4 linked regions of the Schizosaccharomyces pombe genome follow. The protein of the gene in region 1 interacts with the protein of each later gene in a pairwise test. Each region holds a gene or a part of one and is shown on either strand. Other genes may lie near its edges.

Evidence for each region.
Region 2: the proteins of cbh2 (region 1) and sir2 interact in a two-hybrid assay, tested with the Schizosaccharomyces pombe proteins (one large-scale study listed by BioGRID).
Region 3: the proteins of cbh2 (region 1) and ypp1 interact in a two-hybrid assay, tested with the Schizosaccharomyces pombe proteins (one large-scale study listed by BioGRID).
Region 4: the proteins of cbh2 (region 1) and SPOM_SPBC1685.04 interact in a two-hybrid assay, tested with the Schizosaccharomyces pombe proteins (one large-scale study listed by BioGRID).

The regions. Positions count from the first base shown.
Region 1 is NC_003423.3:4,179,444-4,184,791, forward strand, and holds cbh2 (CENP-B protein 2), read right to left. Parts: upstream 2,996-5,348; 5' UTR 2,968-2,995; coding exon 1,423-2,967; 3' UTR 1,294-1,422; downstream 1-1,293. Other genes in the region: sorting nexin Snx41, read right to left, coding at 1-639, 758-1,045; pho8 (alkaline phosphatase), read right to left, coding at 3,349-4,742, 4,877-5,081. UniProt on the Schizosaccharomyces pombe protein: Binds to the central core and core-associated repeat regions of centromeric heterochromatin.
Region 2 is NC_003423.3:3,607,918-3,613,984, forward strand, and holds sir2 (histone deacetylase, Sirtuin family, NAD-dependent Sir2), read right to left. Parts: upstream 3,770-6,067; 5' UTR 3,640-3,769; coding exon 3,456-3,639; exon of another isoform or gene 3,293-3,455; coding exon 3,230-3,292; exon of another isoform or gene 3,193-3,229; intron 3,189-3,192; coding exon 3,106-3,188; intron 2,976-3,105; coding exon 2,944-2,975; exon of another isoform or gene 2,859-2,943; coding exon 2,422-2,858; exon of another isoform or gene 2,358-2,421; coding exon 1,729-2,357; 3' UTR 1,300-1,728; downstream 1-1,299. Other genes in the region: plasma membrane ZIP zinc transmembrane transporter Zrt1, read left to right, coding at 1-1,199; heat shock protein Hsp104, read right to left, coding at 4,442-6,067. UniProt on the Schizosaccharomyces pombe protein: Involved in silencing within the mating-type region, at the telomeres, and according to PubMed:12867036 also within centromeric DNA regions.
Region 3 is NC_003424.3:4,540,695-4,547,446, forward strand, and holds ypp1 (cargo transport protein Ypp1), read left to right. Parts: upstream 1-3,141; 5' UTR 3,142-3,379; coding exon 3,380-3,388; intron 3,389-3,427; coding exon 3,428-3,539; intron 3,540-3,595; coding exon 3,596-6,063; 3' UTR 6,064-6,252; downstream 6,253-6,752. Other genes in the region: SPOM_SPAC637.03 (uncharacterized protein), read left to right, coding at 1,860-2,669; vma2 (V-type ATPase V1 subunit B), read right to left, coding at 6,386-6,752. UniProt on the Schizosaccharomyces pombe protein: Involved in endocytosis.
Region 4 is NC_003423.3:500,410-505,502, reverse strand, and holds SPOM_SPBC1685.04 (uncharacterized protein), read right to left. Parts: upstream 2,840-5,093; 5' UTR 2,631-2,839; coding exon 1,653-2,630; 3' UTR 1,310-1,652; downstream 1-1,309. Other genes in the region: vma9 (V-type ATPase V0 subunit e), read right to left, coding at 3,641-3,701, 3,768-3,818, 4,107-4,198.

The sequences.
Region 1 (5,348 bases):
ACATGTGTGATCATTTGCTTGTCCAACCTTTTCCAGTGCTGTCAAAAGCTTTCCCGACTCGGATAACGAAAGAGCGTTAAACATTGCCCCCAAAGTAGAGTGTGCGAGGCAATACTTAGAGTTTGATAAAACAATTTGATTAAATAAATTGGATTCCTCTTGTGCTACTATTGAATACTGCTGTAGCGTATCTTCAAGCATAAGAAAATTTTTCCCAACATCGTCATAATTGTCACGAGGTACAAGGGTTTTAGAGGGAATAGGCAGCTCCTTGTATAACTCAGCATTCTCTTTAGAAGAAGGATCAGCTGGTGGGGCTTTCAATAAATCCTTTGGGAGACAACTAATAGGAGGACTATGCAATACTTCCTTCCAAGATACATGTCGACTAAGAAATTTTCGAAAAACTTCTGAAAGGCCCAGAATAGGGTGTTGTGCTACCCTTCTCAAAAATAATTGTAATAATCTCTTTCTTTCTTCGAGCATACGAGACATTCGTTGGTTTTTGGTGACGTTTATCAAGTAATCCATGATTTTATGTTTATCAGGTAATGGAGGAACCAAGCAAGTAGGATACAGGCGGCTAAGTTGTACGCGCAAAGAAGCAAATTCTGAATATCGATGGTGTATTTCTGAGTCCTAAAAACCGTTAGTAATCAAACATTTCAATACTTCCAAACAAAAGAGAAGAATGAAGCAAGGATTCTACAATGAATAGTTCGACTTAATACATTATCAACCAATTTCCTTAACTTACTTGAAGTTTGATTATATATACTATGTGTGATCCACTCTCAGCCTTCATAGCTCCAGTAATTACAATTCCGTTTGGATCGAGGGCTGAATCAACAACACTATCTACGTCCTTTTGAAAAAACATGTTTCTACTTTGAAAACTCTCATTCGGTTGGCTAATCGCATTCTCTTTGACAGATGAAGAGCCCTGGTGCTGTGATGGCTCAACTTTTGGCTCTACATTGACAGCAGAAGAGGCGCTTCTGTTGTCAGAGCCAGAGAATGGATTATTATCTTCAAAAAAATCCATTCAATTGTTTCTCACAACGTCCAATTTCAATTGCAATGCTGAATAATGGCGTTTGGAGTTGACAAGTACAGACAGTCATACTGTGTTGATTAATGCATTGCGCTATGCTTATTTTTCGCAAAACAAAAAATTTGTCCCAATTCAATTTCGTAATTTAAACAATTGATTCTTCACTTTATTATTTTATCAATATATCTTATTGAGTTTATAAACGCTTTTAGCGCGAATCTCACATTAATTGAAATAGTACGTCTAGTAGTTAACCTTTAAGAATTCACTGTAATTATTTATCTTTCTTATATTCTATAAAAATTATTTAAAAGTATAGAAAATGTGTACATTTTCGTTAGAAACAAATTTTCCAATTCCCACAACCTTTACACAATCGATCTGCTTTCTAAAACCTTTTGAAACTGAAGTAATGTTCGAGTAAACAAAACATTTCCATCTTCCGATTGCTCTTGAAAGTTTAGTAAAGTATTGATGGCATTTATCGCATCCTTTGTTGATAACAAATACTGTGACTCTTCCTCTTCTTCATCGGTTTCAAACTCTCGTTCATCAAGAAATTGAGCAGCAACTTGGTTAACGATATCGTCATTAGTGTCAGCAGAATTTTCTTCAATAGGGTTAATAAAATTTTCGATTTGGAAAATATCCTTATCACCAAGGTATTTTCCTATCAATTCTTGCAAATTCACCGCGATTCTAATGGTTTCTGGAGAAGGACCGGTCAGTGGTTGCTGATTTTGAAAAAGCCCAGAACGAAGGAAACAATTGTATATTATAGATGGTTCAAAGTCAACGTTCCAAGAACGAATCATCCATCTAACTGCTTTTAGTACATTCATTGTCTTACTGGGGTTCTTTCCCAATCGAATCTCCTCAAGCATGTAATTAAGCCAGTATTTTCTGTAGTATGATTTAAAAGCGTAGACTATCTCTTGGCCACAAGGATGGTAAATTTCTGTAGAATTTACAGGAAGGAAAACAACAGTCGTGTTTACCAACTTTCGCTCGGAATTGCGAATATTTTCCAAAGCGCATTCATGAGCGACAAACTTATCCAGTATAAGTAGAACTTTCCTACCCTTCATCAAATCGTCAAACCAACGAAGCCATTCTTCCATAATGGAAGTGGTCATCCTAGCGGTTCCATTATATCGCCAATGAAAATCCATGGAATCAGGATGAGCATTTGCTTGCCGAAAGGCCCTTGGACTTTTAGCATATCCAATCACCCAAAGAGGGGCCTTTTCAGAACCTGTAGCATTACAACAAATAGTGACGGTGACACGAGCCTTATCTCTCGTAATTCCTTTTACTCGTTCACTCGCAGGAGATTGATTGGGAATAAGTTTCCAGCATAGCCCCGTCTCATCCATATTAAAGATGTCTTTTGGATCAAAAAGACTTATTAATTCCTGTATTTGAACCATGTTTTCCTCATACGTTCCTTGATTTACTGAAGTAGATTCACCCTGTAACTTAAGGCCGTGTTTTAAACAACGCTTTTTGAACTTCTCTAACCAACCGTTACTAAATTCTGGAATCGGAAGCTCAGAGTACTCCGGTATACGTCTCCACAATTCTGCGGCGCTTTTTTTGATGGCGTTTCCAGTAATTGCTCCGTCTTGTTTTTGCAACCTCGTTTGCCAGTCAATAAGGGCGTTTTCTAAGATAGGATATTTTCCTTGGCGGTTTCTTCTTATTTGAGAGTTTTCTGCGTCTAGATTATCTAAAAATTCGTTCTTTGATGATAGAATTGACGAAACGGTAGATTGTGCTAGCTTTTTATGAAAGTGCTCCTCGAACCAACTAATAAGCTCTTGTTGCGAAGGTTTAGTTGCTGACTCAAAATAATGTTTTCTAATTGCTTTTTTTTCAGCTAAAGTCAACGCTTGACGCCTCAATGGAGGCATTCTCTCAAGTTTACGAAAAAATCGTTGTAAGGGAGGTAATCGCGGCTGTCGTGGATGATATGGATGATATCCCGATATGTTTGTGATATTTGATATATTAACGTGTTTGTTATTATAATATTATTATAATATTTTCGTTATGGATATGTTAACTATCTTTATTGCGACAAGTTGTATGTATAATTGTAATATTCGTTTGCTCTTAAATCGCAATTGTTGGATATCTCAACCACAGTGGAAATTAAATAAAGTAAAAGATAAGAAGTAAAATAGGTTTAACTTAAAAAGAATTTGAATGCCATAATTAAGCGATTTAAATAAGCTGAGCATATATGAGAGTATTCTAAATTATATATTTATGGCAATCTTGATTAAAAGGCTTTAAAACAAATCAGCACCGAAACCTACAAGACGATCGGAAAATGAAGTTTCCACTAAACTAGGTCGATCTGGGGCACCATGTATGGGAGCATCTTTGAGCTTTTCAGTTACATCGCTTAGTGAAACATTTAAGTATATCTCCATAAACTGTCCAATTTCAATGTTCTCCATATTTCCTCGAAGATGTTCAGTGACCTCTCCTACTCCATAAACGTTTACATCGACAGCAGTATGGCCGTGAGTGGTCCAGCCAATTTGTGCTTCTACACTAACAATATCACTAAGCACGTTTATAAGATTAAATATATTATGCCGGGCCACGTATATGTCATGAATCTGCTTTGGATTAGGGTCAGGAATGCCAATTGCGGGTAAAACAAACTGTTCAATATAAGGAAGCAACGTATTTTGGTTATGGTTCACGATAGCTGAAGCGAGATATTCAATAGAATGGAGAGCAAGAGATAGGACTTGCGGCTTCCATAAATACTCTGGATATTTTTTGGAGACCTGGCGACCAACAGTCAAACCACCAGTTTCATGATCCGATGTAGAGATTAAAGATCCTCCATTCTTTTCTACAAATGCACTTGCTATTTCAAAGGCCCTGTTGTATTCCATAACTTCGTAAACATGAGCGATAGGGTCATTGTTGTGAGAGGCCATGTCAATTCTACTCCCTTCTATGAGCAAAAAAAATCCTTTAGATGTATCTTCATTAGTGGCGTTGAGCAAAACATCCAAAGCCGTCTCTACCATTTCAGAAAGCTTAGGTTGCACTTCAGGCTGATAATCAATATCATAACTGAGATGATAATCAGAAAACAAACCAAGCAAAGGCAATTGAGCGTTTGATAGCTCATCAAAGTCAGTTCTATTAAGCAAAATTTGGAAACCTTCTTTTTTCCTAGCATATTTCAAAAGATCCAAGTTATCGGATCTACATGATCGATAAGTAGATTTAGGTAAGAATGAACAAAGTCCACCACCGAACAATAAGTCAACACTCCTTCCCAAAGGTCCCATCCCGACTTGGTACTCAGCAATTAAATCTTGCATGAATCGATTCGCGGCATGAGCAGAGAAAGAGGCAGGTGTAGCGTCGGTAACTCTGCTTGTGACAACAATTCCGGTTAAGTAACCGGCTTCTTTAGCAGCCTCTAAGATAGTTCCACAAGGTTTTTCATTATCCAAAACACCAACAGCTCCGTTGTAGGTTTTATTAGCACAAGAAAATGCGGTTGCTCCGGCTGCACTATCCGTAATCAAACTCGAACTGGAACGTGTCCGTGAACTGCCAATTAAATGCTCATCCAAGGGAAGCCTATAACCCTCTTTATCGTTTAGAGTCTCTACAAACGATCTAGTCATAGACAAAGAGCCAGGTCCCATTCCTTTAAAAAAAGTCAGTCACCGAGAAATATTGTAAAAAAAAGGAAGATTCCGTCCCAGTGCTCTAAATATAAAAAAAATCATTTTCCTTCAAAAGAGCAACGGATTTATGAGAGAGCTTACTCCAATCACTTACCGTCAGAAACCATCATAATAACAAATTTTGGTTTCTCATTGGTCCCTTTGGACTTATGAGACGAGAAAAAATAAAAAAATATAACGGTTGATAAAACAAGGATTAACAGAATTCCATGTTTTATCCAAGTTTTCCAATTTCTACGAGAAGGGCTCTCCGGACCCTCGCCATGCACTGGCAGAAGAGGATCGCGCTCAGATGCCATTGAAAACTATTTAAACGGTAAAAATTGAATATCTCTAAAAGAAGGGATGTCAAAGGGTAAAGATCGTTTCAACGCGTATGACTTGTTGATGGATAGTACAAATTTTTGGTGTTGAAACAGCTCAACCATACATTGCATGACGTCATGGTTTAAAGTATTAACTCTCCATGTCGATCCTCGCTATCTTAAATCTGATATCGGATAGTATATGCACAAGTTAATCGAGAATGGCAATTCACCAAGTCCACAAGAAATAGCGTGATGGTA
Region 2 (6,067 bases), 570 kb from region 1:
ATAATCAATATCTTGCTCAAGAATCTCACCAAATATTGAGACATCTTTTTCTTAATAAGCAATATAGTCCATTGGTAAAAAGAGACGATGATAGCTCTGCTACTGTGACTTGTGGAGGTGATGCCAATGAATTCAACGAATATGGTCATCTGGGATATCGTATTGGTGCCATCTTTGTTATCTTGGCTACTTCATTAATTGGCATGAACTTACCTTTGGTCCTTTCTAAAATCACCAAAAACAGACCCAACGTTTATATTGAATATCTCTATCTATTCGCTCGTTATTTTGGTTCTGGTGTTATTTTGGCTACTGCTTTTATTCACTTGTTAGCCCCTGCTTGTAACAAGCTTTACGATCCTTGTCTTGACGACCTTTTCGGAGGTTACGATTGGGCTCCAGGTATTTGTCTTATTTCTTGTTGGTTTATTCTCTTGTTGGAGGTCCTTTTGAATCGCTATGTGGAATGGCGGTTCGGTATGGAAATCGGCGATCATCATGGTCCAACTCTTGGTGCCAAACAACACAGTCATAGTCACGAAGACGGTGCTCACGGTGTTCATGAACATCCAGTTTATGATATTGAAGAATGTGCCGATGGTGTTGAGCATGAATGTGTAAAGGATGACTTGGAAGAAGTAAAACTAGAACCTTATACGAATACTGATAGTACCGATTTGACTACTAAAGAAGAAGCTCGTAGTTTCTTACTAAAGCAACAACTTACTGCCTTTATAATTCTTGAATCTAGTATCATTTTGCATAGTGTTATTATCGGTCTTACAACTGCCGTCTCAGGTGAAGAATTTAAAACTTTATTTCCCGTCATTATTTTCCATCAGGCCTTTGAAGGTTGTGGTTTAGGTTCTCGTTTGGCGGGAATGGCCTGGGGCCCAAAAACTGCATGGGTACCTTGGGTGTTGGGCGTTATCTATTCGTTGGTTACGCCTATTGGTATGGCAGCTGGTTTAGGTGTTCGTGAGCATTGGGATCCTCTTGCTCATGGGTCTTATGCTGCCCAAGGTGTTTTGGATGCTATCTCATCTGGAATTTTGGTTTATGCTGGTTTAGTGGAATTACTTGCACACGATTTCTTATTTAGTCCTGAAAGAGAACGTAACTGGTATAAGCTTATTTACCTTTTGGCATGCTCGATGGCTGGTACTGGAGTTATGGCTTTGTTAGGTAAATGGGCTTGATTTGGTGGCTTTTTCGATGATCCGTGCATTTTATATTCTTCATTAAATCTGTTTTCTTCTTTTGAGTTTGAGTGTCAATATCGTTGACCAATTTCTAATTGTCCGTTTTCAGTTGTTTCTCTTTAGTATCGTACAATTAGATGCTTCATTGGTTGTATTGATATGTACCAATCAATCTTTCAATTTTAAATAATAATTGTGTCATTTTCACTGATTTACTATGCTTAAAAAAGTAGCTAATTTTGCATAGCCTATGAATGTAATTTGCTTCAATGTTCATTTACTAATTACACAGTCCTTGGTATTGTAAAATGTATTATAACTTGTTTTAATGTGTTTTCACCCAGTTTAGCAGATTTAAACATTAGGTGCGAAGAGAAAAAACAGTTTTTAACAATGGCACTTACAAAACTAAGAAGTCTCAAACGGATAATAAGTTAATGTCCAATAATCTGGCTCTCATACTCGATATATGTATATAATATATTTGCTTCTACATTCAACTTCGATAGATCGATCAGTCCTAAAATTAACAACTACCGTTTGTTGTGCTCGTGATATGATAGGTGCTGGGCTCCTCAAATTTTATATCCAAATCCGTTTCGAAAGCTCGCGTTTTGGAACCACTATGACACTCAGGTAAATCGCAAAGCGCTTGTAATTCATTCAGCCATCCAGCACGTTTACAAATCTCCACAATAACCCAATCACAATAAGGACTTAGAAAATTTACATCGAATTGGGTATGACGAACAGGAGTCCTCGAAATGTAAATCTGAGGAGTAGTAGGAGGAATAACACTGATGAGTTCTGAAACAGGAGCCACTTTTAAAGAAGTTCCAATACAAATTAATAAATCAGTCTCTTCAAGCTCACCACTCCCGACTTTGTTAAAGAAAGAATCCGGTAAGGCTTCCCCAAAAAATGTGATATCAGGTTTCATAATCCCAGGTTGAGCTAGATCATCTTCAGAAGATTCACTATCACCATCTGAAAAATAATGTTTCTCTTTTTTATTTTGACCGACTCTTCTTAATTTTAAGGGTGGTTTTCCGCATTCATTGCAGTAAGAAACTCTTTGATTTCTTATGTCTTCATATAACTCCGATCCATCCACCTTGTGCTTGCATTTGATACAAGTTGCGGTAGCAAAAGACCCTATATAATCAAATTAGACAAAATCACCAGTGCTCGAGATGCAAATCGGAAAATAAATACTTACCATGACATTGAATAATTTTGTTATCGGAGAGTCCAGTCTTTTTTTCCAAATTGTCTATATTTTGGGTAAACAATGTTGATAATTTATTCTTCTTTTCAAGCAATCTAATGAAGGCATGCGAGGGGGAATAATGATTCGTCTCCGGCAAAAGATCTCTAGCAAAAGTATAAAAAATTTCTGGATTTTCTCTAAACGTATGGATATCAAACATTTCAGAAGGTTCCGATAATCCATGGCGTGCCAAACGGGCATAAAAACCATTGTCTGAACGGAAATCTAAAATTCCCAAACTTGTACTTATGCCTGCCCCAACAAGGACGACAACATTTTTAGCTTTTTTCAATAAATTAACAACATCTTCAAAGGTATTAAAATGTGGAAGTTTGATTCTCCTAGCAACCTCACGTTTTAAAACTTCCTTCAGCAAAGGAAGTAAACTAATTAGCACGTTAGTATATCGATAGCAGATATTTTAAAAAATAAAAGATAAAAAGATAAGAAGGAAGTTAAAGAAAAGCATACTCTATGTCTTCAAACTCTTCAAGTGCACTAGGCTATTTACGTTAATAAATCTAGGTAAAGTCATAAGAAAACAAAACATGCAGTAGACCAAATTATTATTGCAATTTAACAAAAATAATCTGCTAATTTAATGTAATGCAAGTTATAAATCAGTAAGCATACCAAATTGATTCCAAGTTTTTTTAAAATCGATCGTACAGGCAACTCTTCTTCTATTAAATATTTCTCCAAGAATTTCGCATAGCCTACAAATACTAGTTAAAATGTAAATTAAGTAACTCCTTACCTGAAGCCCTTAAATATCTGACCATTTCGGATCGTTCATCCAAATCACTTATGTTTTCTGTTTCTAAGGAATCGTTAACTTTTTAAATAATTAAAATAAACTAAAGTATATGAAAAGCACATAGCTAACCTGAACTCAAAATCGTTGATCAATTGTAAATTTTGTAAATTCAAATAGACTTGCGCGTACCCTTGAAGGTATTGGAGTTAATAGTTGATATTCATACCTGGTTTATCCCATTCATCAGAATCAACCTCTTCATCCTCAGTTTCTTTACTGCCGCACATAATATCTACTAGTAAACTAGCACCGGAACTACTACCAGAAGAGCTAGGAGAATAACTAGCGACTGGAATTTTTTCCTCAACGGGAGTCGTCGGCATATTATTATCTAGCGGATTGGAAGCCATGACAGAGTTTGTATAACATGAAAATATGACTAATCAATTATTTTTAAGGAAGTATAAATTAAAGCTTCGTTTGAGAAAGGCAATGATCTACTGAACTGAAGATCTCTGGTTCAACTTTTCGATAAGTCTTATTACAATTACGAAAAGCTAGTCTCTTGTTTAGTGCAGTAAAGTTTCGTTAGCTTAATGGTATGCGGGCAACTGTGATCTCGTTATTTCCTGGTAATAATGGCTATTAGAAGCAAAGCACTGTATAAGTTTAACTATACAACTTGTTAATTTAAACGTTGCTTTGAACCATGAGAACTGGAATGCGTATTAGTATGCAATGCGCAAGTGTAGAAAGTAATGAAATGATATGATAGTGATTTACCAAATGTTAAAGTTAATCATGTAAATTCAATTTAAAATCTACTAAAAGTATGAGAGCTAATTCTGCTTTGATTTTATAAGGAATTACGAGCACTTTCTTACAAGCTCGACTTTCTTGAATGGACTGCATTAATTAATACCTACTAAAATAAATGGAGGTTTTTCGTAAATAACAATGGATTATTTGATAAATTTAAGATTCAATGTTTCATCATACTTGAATTGCTAATAACTAAAAACGATGTACTTAGCTTTTGTTAAATTGATTCTATCTATTCGATAAAGTTCATTGAACATTTTAATGAGAAAACAGTACTTCCTAAAAAGTTTATATACTATATTTTTATAAATAAATAAAATATATTAAGATTAAGCATATCATTAAACTATATCATAAAGTATCGTTAGAACTTTCTCATTTGAAATACATTTATTCCAATTCTTCATCATTAACATCGTCGTCAATACCATCCATGTCAATATCAGCAGAGCCGTTTGCATTAGCTTCATGATTTGGTTTGACAAATATCTTGCCATTTTGGACTACGACATGAGCAGTCTCCTTATCGCGAAGCTGGCCATTCAAAATTAAGACAGCCATGGGATTCAAAACTTGATTTTGAATGACACGGTTCAAAGGTCTTGCACCATAAGCAGGGGAATAACCAGCGCTTCCAAGAAGGTCTTTAGCTTCGTCGCTAACCTCGATTTTAATTGAGCGATGATTGGATTGAAGCCGTTTCTGAACCTCTAATATACGATTTTCGACAATATTGCGGATATCCACACGACGCAGACGATTAAAGATAACGATTGAAGAGATACGATTCAAAAATTCGGGACGGAAGAAGCCACGAATCGAGTTCATAACCATTTCCCGAGTGGTACTATCTATCTTTCCATCATCAGACTCATTGTCTGTTGTCAAGTATTCAGCGCCCAAGTTAGAAGTCATAATGATAACAGCATTCTTGGCATCAACAACCTGGCCTTGGCCACTAGTGATACGTCCATCATCTAGTACCTGCAAAAGTACAGTCAATACTTCTGGAGCAGCCTTTTCAATCTCGTCAAACAAGATGACGGAGTAAGGTCGTCGACGAAGTTGTTCAGTAAGCTGTCCACCAGCTTCATGTCCAACATAACCGGGTGGTGCTCCAATGAGACGTGAAACAGAGTGTTTTTCCATGTATTCAGACATGTCAATACGAATCATTGCATTTTCATCATCAAACATAAATGATGCCAATGCCTTTGTCAATAAAGTCTTACCAGTACCGGAAGGACCGCAAAACAAGAAAGATGCGATTGGTTGATTAGGATCAGAAAGACCAGCACGAGATAAGCGAATGGCGTTTGCAACTGCAGTAACTGCTTCATTTTGACCAATTACTTGTTTACTGAGAACCTTCTCCATGTTAAGGAGTCGTTCCTTTTCAGTTGTCTTCAAACGAGTAACCGGAATACCAGTCCACCTTGCAACGATTTCGTTGATTTGATCGGGCCCAACTACGTCAATAAGTAAAGGTTCTGAGCCTGGTTGAGCGTTTGCAATCGCTTCTGCATCAGCCTTTCTTTTTTGTTGCTCTAAATATTCAATACGTTTTTGCAAATCAGGAATACCATAGTATTTCAAATCAGCAGCAAGAGTGAAATCATTACGACGCTCGGCATCCTCAGCCTTAGCCTTCAACTCATCAAGACGACGCTTAGCATCTTGAAGTTCACTTCCACGAGACTTTTCTAATTCATACTTCTCACGAATAGGTCTTGTTTCTTCTTCCACTTGTTCAGCCTCTTTACGAGCAGCCTTGAGACGTTCTTTGGAAGCTTCGTCCTTCTCACGCTCTAAAGCACGAATTTCAACGCGGAGTTGTCGAAGCTTTCTCTCAAGGTTATCAAGAACTTCGGGCTGAGATTCACGAGTAACACGAACTGCAGCCGCAGCTTCATCGACCAAGTCGATGGCAGAATCTGGAAGACGACGAGAAGTTAGGTACCGGGAAGCGAGATGGGCAGCAGTAACCAAGGCACGGTCAGAGATAGTAACACCATG
Region 3 (6,752 bases), on another chromosome or scaffold:
TGGATCGTTGAACGAGTTCCCCATTGCTTTTAGGAGATTTCGAACGAGGGTGTCGGAATGTGCTGCTCGGTAAACATAGAAAAAACAATAAAAACCAGTTTCCCAGTCAATGCAGAATTTGAAAACTGTTTGTAATGAAAATAATTAATCGTGTCCGTAAAAGCACAACCTTTAACACGAAATTTGTTTAATTGAGAAGATAAGATGGGGTTTTCGCTTACATATATTTAGACAAGCGCAACATAATAGGGTAAGTATCACAGGAAGAAGAGGAAAAATTAGAATACAATTTTAAAATCATGACAATGTAAGTAGTGTAAGAGCGAGGACTTCTATAATATTTGACAGCGGCAATTCGGGAAAACATATTGCCTAAGTCTGATTTTTTTTGAAGTTCATTATTTTGCTCAAAGGAGTGTGCTGAAAGAAATAAATAAATCAGCGTTAATAAAATTTAATATAAATGAATCAGAATATAAGTTAGATGAAAAATTCGATAAGTAAGCAATCAAGCAGTTTAACTGTTCGGCTAATAATACACGGGCAGGTTTATTCCTATAATATCTAACGGGTGGTCTGCATTTGATATGATCATTGCAACGTTGGTGTCTGACAGAAAAAAGTCGAATTCTTATAGATGAATTCTAGCATTTCTTCAGTCAGAAAAATATATCGAAGACTCTAAGTTTACCCTTTAAATGTGTCACTTGTGGTTTTCTTATACGGAAAAGATACAGAACAATCCACGGCTAAAGGAGATCCTCATCCAACAACCCGAGAAAGTCTATCATTTGGATGAACGGATACTCATCCAAAACTTTCAAGAATTGTGTTTTTTTTGCTTCTATCTTCAATGCCCTGTATCGAACTGAATTGCGATTGTCATTAATTTGCCTTGCTATGCCATACCAAGCCAAGCTATTTTAAGCAAACGGTTTAGTTGGACTCCAATAATAAATGCTTTACAAAAAAGAAATGCGATTGATAAACTAGAACACTCTCCAATGTATGTCTACCAATTCCTAAATACTTTCAATTCGCAACATTCTTATGGCCTTTGTGGTCGCTTCAATTCGGCTTTGAAAACCGGGTTAAAAGGCATCGCATAAATTTGTATCTTCCAAAACAGTTGATTTTATAAAAAGCTCATAAATAATTTCTCAGCGCGAGCAAATGGTAATTTCTTTGAAATCAGCGCCTTTGGAATTTTCATTTTACGCCTTATTGACATTCCCATCGATATACGTAACATGTTACTCCATGATACATGGTTTCAGCTGATGCCAAGGCATCGTTGCGTAAGCATTACGAAGGAATATGATGATGGAAGGAGGCATGGGTTGGGCAGTTTCTGCAGTCTGCTAAATTTAAATAGTCTGCCTATATATATTAAATCTCTCGCACTTTTATGACCTTCCCTCTCCCATACATATTTGCAAGTTTGCGTATAACGTTGCTTTCTAACACAATTTACTTTTAATCCACTTCAAACACTTGGTTTAGCTTTTAAAGAAAAGCTTAGGATTTTGCTACTGTTTGTTACGAGGAATTGTTGCAGAAGAATTCAATTTTTTTAAGTCGTATTTACCAACGATTTTATTCAATTTAAAAAGTTTGACTTTCATAGGCTGTTGCTTAGTTTATCGTCAATTCCTTGCGTATTGCCGGAACCTAGTTAATATCTAAAAAAACACAAACAAACCAAATTCCAAAAGTGGTTGAAAATTGCCGCTTCGCTACTTTTACTATCTCCGGGAAAGAAGACCTGTAATTTAATTTTTTCTTCTTCTTCCAATTCGTACTATTAATATTACCGCTAGTTTCTTCTTATTCTTTCGCCTACTACTTAATTGTTCAATATGCAAATTACTCGTGAGTCAAAATACATTATTGGGCTCGTCTTAGCCTTGGGTGTAAGCTTTGCTACCCTTTTGGCTCATTTGTTTACCAAACCATCTCTTGAATGGGTTTACAATCACCATGCCACTCCATTTTTCGCCAACAAGTTCATGCTTGGTGGCTACCTCTTGGTCGAATACTTGTCTTTCCTTTTGATGATTGTGCCCCTTTTAATGCTTGGTGATCAGGTAAACGATTTTACCTTCTCCATTATTCACACATCTATCTGGTACAATGTATTTGTCGTGTTTACCGTCTGGGCATTTACCCGTGAGAAGCTGTACTGGACTGCATTCTTTTCCTTGTGTCTATTCTCATCTTCTTTCACCATGTACGGCCAATCGCTTCGCTTGAGAAATGGTTTTGTTGAGATGATTAGCATGAAGTTGCCCTCGAAACTTGTTTTTGGCAAGTCTCTTTGGTTCGTTGTTTATGCCTTCTCTGCCGCTTTACACTGCACCGGCATTGGTTGCCGCGTCTTTTCTAATGTGTTTATCTGGTTCTTTGCCGCCATGTATCTTGTTCCTATTTTAGGATTCCATGACTGGGCTCTTTCCCTCGTCAGCGCATACCTTTTCCTTTCAATCGGTATTGGACAAATGTTTATTCACCTCTTTGCCTTGCAACACATTTTCGCCTTTATCATTGCTGGTCTCATGACCCTTTTCGCTGCTCTTCTCTTCCTCCTTCCCTACAGACAGAGACGCGCTGCTTTAACAGGCGAGAGTGCTCCTTTGCTTCAGGACAACAACGCGGGACCCGCAGTTTAAACTCTTGTAGTCTTCTGCATGTTGTTGCTCCGTTCTACTAAATAGTATGATAATGAATTTGCTTAATTGTATTATGTTACACTTAACTTTAGTATAAAAATTTAATTTTTCTCCCATAAATCTTTCGACTCAAAATTCAGGTGGATAGCAGATTAAAGCATAGTTTTGACGATCAACTTCATCATGGTTAATAGCACCCTTCTTAGTATAAAGTTGCTTCGTGTGCTAACTTTACAAGCACTTCATTGACGAAGACATCCAGCTTATTCTTATATGGATCACGAAAGTGTCATCATATTCAACTATTCGTACTCTGGCTAACTTGTACGCTAATTATTTAATCTTATTTGCTTCATGTATTTATTAAAGAACCCTTAAAGCAAAAAACTTGGTATACACTACTTTTTCTTTACTTAGCTCAATATCTCAATTACTTTCTCATGCCGACGGTTACGCACCTCCATTCAACCTTGGCCTACTCCATATATCGAACCATCAAAATTCCTTCATCTTGGTATTCTTGAGGCGTTAAATACCTTCTTTAAACCTTTTCTTTTTACAATTCCTTCGTTTTTCTTGTTACTGTAAATATATATCAATTTATTTAAAGTTTGCGTTCAAAGTTCTATAAACGAATTTTACGTTCCAACTACTGCGTTTGACCTTTTTTTTCTCTTTATATATACAAATACCAAGTTATAAAAAAATTCATGTTTTCCGTACGTCTAAACTATGAGTTTTCATACTGACTGATATAGGCTAAAGCAAAAACCTATGAACTAAAACTAGAACAAACAAGATGTAATGGAGATTGGCAGGCAATTCCTGAGGTTGCTAGAAAATTGCATAAGCATAACTCTTCAAAGTCCTGTGAGTGATTTACAGTCAAAGTTTTCCACTTGTCATCTAGACTAACCTTTTTTTAGTCGTTTGTGAATTAGCAAAAATTGAAGCTTCTCTTAAATCAGCATTAACTGCTGAACTAAAAAATATTGCAAACGTTTTGGAGCCTAAATTAATAGATAATCAGTATTCCCTAATTCCGGCTTTACCCAGTGCTCGTACCGACCCTCTTCTAAGTCAATTAAACTCATTGAACATTCAAAATGCCACAGAAGATGAGAAGCTTCAGGAGACATCCATACGCTTGTTATTATACATTGTACAGCGTAAATTTCCCGAAGCCGTAGATTTAGATTGGTCTCCTCAAGGAATTCCGTGGACTGAAACTTCCACTGGTATATGCATCCTACAAGCAACAGTGCTATCATCGCTAGCTCAATATGCTCAAGCTAACGATGAAGTTGCATATCAATACGTTCGTTCGGCCATTGGCTTAATTCAAAATGCCAATATTGGCAAGAAGCCTTTACCGGAACTTACAAGATGGTGCGATCTTGCATATTCATTGTATGCTCAAATGTCTGTAAGCGCTTGTTCGAGTCAATTAGAAAGAGCTAATATACTTACTACATGCTTGAGCTATTTTACCGAGCATAAGTCCGTGAATTTGCTTTATAAACTAGTTACCAGCAGACAAGCTATTAAATATTTGGAACATATTTTAAGAACTAATACAAATGGATCAAAAATTTTTACTAAAAGTCCGGTTAAAAATCTTTATTTAAATTGGCCTCAACTTGTCCTCGATTATGGGTCTTTGTTATGTAACTTTACCTCTTTTCCTAAAGCTGGTGATCAAAACATGTTCGCCGTTGAATTTATTGAACTTGCAACATCAATATGGATAAACACAGAGAAATCTTACGATATCACTGTCAGCTTGATTCGAATGCTTTATCAGCTTACTGGAAAATGCTTCCAAGCACAACAAATTTTTCGTTCTTTGGTATTTTTTTTAAGGCATATTGAGGAATTTGAAGAAGCTAGCGAGGCTTTTGAAATTTACAAGTTTCTATGCGTAAAATCTCACGAACGGTTAGCAAGAAAAAATTCAGATGTCGCTGGCTCTTTTTCTGATATCAAACCAGTGTTTGTTGATGAACCGAAAAGTATTATTGAAGTATGCTCCGTTATGATGACCGTTTATGCGCAATATCTTCGTAATTTGAAAAAAGTTTCTGAAATACTTGATTATATTACAAAAATTGCTTCTGATTATGATTTACTGAAACGTGACGATATTGCTCCTTTAATTTATCATACAGAAGGAGTTGCTTATTCTTTCATGTATTATCAAGCTAACAACCCTTCGTTAAGGGAAAGATATCACCAGAAGAGCGTCCAATCTTACCAGAAATGTCTAGAAAAGCAACCAACCAATACAAATGCACTTTTCCATTTGGCTATGCAATATTCGGAGAGACGTGCCATTACTGATGCAATGCAAATTGTTCGGCGACTTCTTGAGGTGAACCCTAAGTACAGTATTGTATCTTGGCATCTTTTGGTTTTGTGTGTGTCTTGTTCTGAACAATACGCAGCAGGAATTAAGCTGATCGATAGTGTATTTGAAACTTGGGGCATTAATCATGTCAATGAAGATGGCACTATTGAGATTAGTTTGACAAATTTGACATTTAATGACCGCTGCGCTTTGGTCGATTTATTGATTACGAAACTAGCTCTTTTTGAAGCCGAAAAAGGCGTAGAAGCTACTCTGGATATCCAGGATGAAATATTTACATTATTTGCTAGTATTTTTGATTTGAATGAGTACAGGATATCAAAGGAAGGATCGTCAGATGAATTATCAACGCTTTTAGAACGATCGACTATTCAATCCATTAAATCATCCAAGAAAATCTCTAAAGATGTGGAAAATGAAAAAGGAAGTATTCTTGGGTTTTCCAGGAAATCATCGCTTAAGAGATCTACTGTTTTAAGCAAAAAATCCCACTCTTCCTATAAAGAAAATTTTCAGTTACGTCGTGGTAAAACCGTATCATATCTCAATCAGAAGCTTTGGCTTACCGCTGCATCTCTTTTCCTTAAAAGTGGAAATGATGATCAAGCACGAAGCGCTTTACTAGAAGCTAAAAAAATAGACCATGAATGTGCTTGGGTGTACTATTTAAATGGTTTATCTTTACTACAACAGGGAAAAGAAGTTGAAGGGTATGAGCAACTTGACGTTGCTCATTATTTAGACCCGGAGGATCCCTTAATTTCGACGGCCCTTGCAAAGTGTCTTTTACAAGGTGGCTATGGGCCTATGCATTCTCGTAGAAATAGAGCAGATGCTATTTTATCGAGCTGTACTTTGCAGTATGGCTGGGATCTACCAGAAGCTTGGTATTATACTGCAGAAATATTTCGTCAACTCGGTGATTTAAAACAAGCTGCGTTTTCGTATGATTATTGCATCCAGCTAGCTGATACAAACCCTGTACGCCGATGGAGTAACTTGCAGCCTAGGTTTATGAACGTTTAAACTGTCTACATTTTTTGGACTTTTATTATTTATAAATTGAATTTACAAACTTTAAGGCACTTTCAATAGTAATTTATATGTTTCCTTTGTAGTGATTGTAACTTCAATATGAACTCACATAATAGACATAAATAGATAAATGTTATTTATGACATTGTGTTAAATTAATAACGAAGCAATTGCACCTTGAATCAGTATCTATAACAGTCTTCTTTCCAAATCACCAACAAACAAATAGCATTAGATAATTGCACCGAAAATAACGATTCAAGGACATTTCAAAATTAGCGATTATTTGGTCTGTATTTGCAGCGTCAAAAAACTAAGAGCTTTCAGGAGTGTTGTCTATAACATCTTTGGAAGATTCAGTATAGGCAGAGGATCTTGAATAATATTGATCCAAAATCTTCTTAGGAATACGAGTTAACATCTCACGAGGGAAGATGCGAAGGAGGGACCAAGCCAAATCCAGTGTTTCAAAAATAGTACGATTCTCGTAAGCACCTTGACTAATGAAAGTCTTTTCAAATTTACCCAAAAATTCAAGAGCAAGGCGATCTTCTTGAGAAAGGGCTTCCTCGCCAACTACTGATTTCATGGAAGCAGCATCACGACCGATGGCATACATTGCATACAGCTGGTTAGAAACATCACCATGATCATTTCTAGTCATTCCTTCACCAATGGCA
Region 4 (5,093 bases), 3.7 Mb from region 1:
GGATATATGAAGGAATTCCTATATAGAAATCTCAGTATCCTTAATTTGACTACTCAAGCAATAAGATAATTTACCTGAAACAGTTATAATATATTTAGTAAATCAAATATTTTGACAATCTGCTTCACTTTACTGACACACCAATGGCAAGATAACGATAATAATTGCAGACGGTGGCTTGAATAGTTTGCAGAAATCCTTTCCAATTCAGAGATAAGAAAAGATTAGCCTTTATATCTTTTTTTTTAATTAATCAAACGAAAATGACAGGAGTAACGACAAGTAGAAACAAAATACACACACAAAAACGAAACAATAAAATAAGTAATCAAGTGTATGAATGAGAAATTTTAAATCTTGTAAGCCGTAAAAAAAACGAAAAGATTTTAAAAATTCCCAAACTCCACTGTATGGACAAAAACGAAGCGAAAAGAGAATGGGATTTGCAAGAATAGTTTTGATAAGGTCAGTAGCAATCGGGGAATGCTATGATAATAAGCGTAGAACAATGATCTCCCTTTCTTTTCTTTTGCAGATAAGCTCGATCCTGAATTTTAAACTACGCAGTTAAAAGTAATATTTGCGATATGATGTCTAAATTTCGCTATTGGAAGATTCTTGTTTCATTCGTTTTGCCCATCGGCAACGCGGGCTTTCAATTCAATATATATGTAGGTGAACGATGTTTGCTGTAATAGTTAACTTCACTAGCGTCTCATACCACCAGCAGACAAAGTGCGTGGCAAGCCGTTTGATCAACAATTCTATTGCTCGATGATTTTTAAGAGTGATGTCAAAGTCCGAGTGCGGCAAAAATAAGACAGCGTAGCTTTAGAAGTGATTTCGATGAATTTCACTCAAACGGAGGATTGCGACGAACAAGGAGCCGCAATGTCGTTTGTTCAAAATCGGATTTCTTGGTTCCGTGACATTTTGCAAATAAGCTAGAATCCATCTTCATACGACTGTGTCGTATTGAATGGAAATGGAAAACTGAAAGAATGGGTTCGAAATGGAAAACGACATTCTGAGGATGTTTGACAGAATCGGTTATGTGAACCGAAAGTGAATGTACGTGGTATTAGCGTAGAATTGTTTGAAAACTAAAATGGTGTTACTTTTTGAAAACTGTTTCGTTTGTAGTAGGTTGATGGTTGAACAAGACAAAACAAAGATTATTAAGGTAGCTTTAGATTCAGGGATGTTTATTATGACAGTGTTTGATTTGGGTAGGAGATTGACAGTTTAAGTATGGAAATAGGCATTCAATAGCATATTTGAATTGAATCACTAATGAACTCGACTCGCATTACTTTAACATTTTGTCATTTGTTGTGTAGAAGAGAGTTTGAGAAGACAAATCAAAGATGATCAAAGTTGGTGTTATTAAATAAATATCATGCCGAAAATACAGCTGAAATAAATATTATATACGATTTTAACGATGTGGTGCTAGATGAGGCTGAAAATCTGGAGGTAAAATCATGTATGAAATATATATTTCTCCACAATTAACAGGTATCTTGAAGCCGTGCAGGGTAAAAGTAGTAAGGCTGTCGGTCAACACGCCAAGGAATGCATTGTGCCATTGAATGACCATATTTTAATATTAGAAGGTTGTATTGATAGTATACGGAATGAAAATTAAATTATTAGGAAGAAACGGGAGTCGAGGTTATCGCAGTAAGCATATTCTCAAAATATACAATTTCGAGCTCTAAACAAACAATGATTGGCTTCCATGTATTGGAGTCAGCAATCTGTCTCGCCGACTCCAAAGAGTGAAGAGTCGAGGTCAAGAGTGATAATACACTAGTGCGCTGAACGTCAGTTAATGGAGGCAAAGCAGCTTCTGATAAAGAAGTAGGCCCCAGTATTGAGATTAGTTTTGTTTCGACAGCTTGGATTTGATGGATCAAACGTTGGAAGAATTGCATTCCTGGAAGTGCTTGCCCGACCATTAGTCGCAAAAGATCTTCTCTTTTCTTCAATACTTCCATCCGTTTTTCAAGGGAAGATACATTAGCATGTGCATCATACTGCTCCTGCAGAGTTAAAAGGCGATCTTCCATACTGAGTGCCTTTTTCTTTTCTAGATTATCATAAGTCTGGAGTCGTTTTACAAGGGTGTTTCGTTGGTTCGTTACAATCGCCAACTTTTCCTGCAAAATTTGAATTTCCTCATCTAAATGTGTAATGCTTGTCTTTAGATTCGATATTTCTTCCGCTTTGTGCACCTCTGCCAGACTTGCTTTGGTCGATTCAATTTGGGATAAAATGTCTGTCTGCGAGTCCCAACGGCTCTTCAATTTCCTTTGCTGGCTCCTATATAAATCAGCGTTTTCTTGACAAGCTTGACACCATAACTGCAACTGCTCAGCGATGGCTTTTCGAATCCTGGTCAAGTCGTTGGGCTGTTTAGATTGAAACAACACTTCAGCCAGCTCATCCAAAAGCGATTGTATTTTCCTTTCCACTTTTGGAAAGGAGCCACTTTCTTCCATATTGTCAAAAAGCTCTAAGCTACGCGTTCTTGTCGATAAGCCAGAAGAAGAGGTACCTTCATCATTCAGCATCCCTTCATTAGACTTGTTTGGGAATTCGTCTAGCGGAATATATTCTTGTTTCATTTTAAAAAGGTATAATACACGAAAAATCTAGTAAATGCGTAAATTTGGTAAGTTCAACCCTTTTTTCTTCATAACAGAAAATTATATCGCATTCAACATCACTAGTGTAAGTTTTTCGCTTTTTTTATATACGAATCTTTATTTTTTCAGTCTTCCTATCTTTTCAAGAAACCAATCCGTTCAAAATCACACTGTAAAATGTATTTCTTAACTATCAGTGTGTGCAAATGTCTATGTGCTATAGTGGAACAATGTTGAATAGTCGCGAACTTGTGTTTATGAAGCCAGTAGACCTTTAATAACAATTCAGACTTTCTCTATCTCAAATATTTTTTTTAGTCAACTAAAATTGCGTATTAGGAGCGCCACTACTATCATGAACTTCAGTCCAAATATTAAACTAAACTTACAACATCTTAGAGTTTTTGGCACCAAAAAAACTTTTGAATATCCTGTTGTGTCTATTATTTCAATTTTTTATTGTATTTCTATATGATTCAGTATATTTGTAGCAAGGCTTTTGATAACGTAAATATACGTCGCCTTTCATACACACATCCGAGTAAAAGAAAAAGCGACAACCAAAAGACGGGGAGACCAATAAATCTAGTAAAATCAAAGAAAAGAAATAATGAAGGTATATCCTTTCGCAAAGATTAAATGCAATGTTGAAATCCACGTGAACCGACCTTTAAATAACGCCAGGTTCCAGCCATGACTTAACTGACTCCATATATATATTAAAATAAGAAACGTTTAAAGATATGGATTATAAAAATAAGAAATACTCAAACGTGTTTGATTTGTAATAATAATCGACAAACACCAATAGGATTTTAGAGACTAGAAAGTTGAGCCCGACGATCAGAAACGAATAGTATCAAAAAATAGGAAGAGGAAAAGGTTCAAAAGTAGATTCTAATTGGAAAGCTTGCAGTCTAAACGATAAGTAAAATAAAAGAGGAAGAATGTACAAACATTAAAAATCACTATGATTATACTAAACTTCATTACTCAAGAACTCGAGATGGAGCCTCTAATGGATGCAACTGTGCTAAATAAGTAATTGCCCTAAGAACGATGTTAGTAAAAAAGAAAAACAATATGGATGCATAAGAACACCACAAATGCACTAACCATAATAAATAGCAACAAGAAAAAGTAAGAATTAATGACATCTGCCAAGTACTAATTGAGAGTTAATAAAACTTTTGTTAAAGGAAGGAGTATGAAAATATAATACAAGCAACTGATCCCAATTCCAGATTGTCCATGTGCAGCTGAAGACAAGGCCTAAACAGCGCTACCTTGATTGGTTGCAAGAAAGACAATCACATATACTTTTCCATATCTCTAAACGAAAATGAAACGAAGTAAAAACAAGCTACTGATCATAACACAAGACTTTAAATGGGAACATAATTGCTATACCTCGATATATAGATGATTCACTCCAATCAGTAGCAAACTTCTTACCTAGTATTATTTCCCTTGGGCGAGACATAGTAAGAAACTACACTCATTAAGGCCGTCAAAAGGCCGACAAGTAAAACAACGAGACCACCCATTAGAATGCAAATTACCTACTTTCAATAAATGTAACTTGCACGTTAATGGTAAATTATCGAATGTGCGTCTCACATGAACATATACTGCAAATTAGTGACACCACGCATAGATAACGTAAACATAAATCAGGTAACAATAATCATACAAAGGCATTAAAAAAATGCTTAACATAGCCTTCCAGTTATATGAATACGATCCTTGAATAAAAAAATGCTCTTTAATGCTAGCGGACATCATAAAGACACCCTTCCTCCATTTTTTCTTATGAATTCTATTTATGGTAACCCTCAATCCATTACGTTAAACTAAATATTTAACAAATTTACATTACCGTGTTTACTATAACGCATCAGTGTCAGGCTCCCAAAAATTCTGTACTTTCCAGATTCTTTGAATACTATTATGGACTGGTTAGTTTCAAAAGAGATTGTATTAATTATTTTCTTAACTTCAAGTAGTACTCGGAAATCATTCTTCTCACTAGTTTATAAAACCACCGAGCACTTATGCAGAGAGTAAACTAACACATCCAATAATTACATCCACATGCTTAATGCTTTCTTATTGTACTTAACTTTCTTTTCATAACATAAACTTTTTAAATCACCAATTACACTTTTAAAATTCGTCTGATTACCTGCGCCGTAGAAGCGATGAACATAAAATGCTTTGTGTAGCTTCATAGTTATATCCTTTTGTGTAATATTATAATATTTTTACATTGCAAAAATGCAAAATAATAAAAAGAATTGAAAAATAAATAATTTCACCAGTAGTAAATGTCATCTATTTTTTCCTAATGAAATCAAAAATGACATTAAATTGAGAAATCATACATTTAACGTAAAAGAATTATTAATGCTAAGCTGATGAGAGCTTAAACATAGTTTCGCC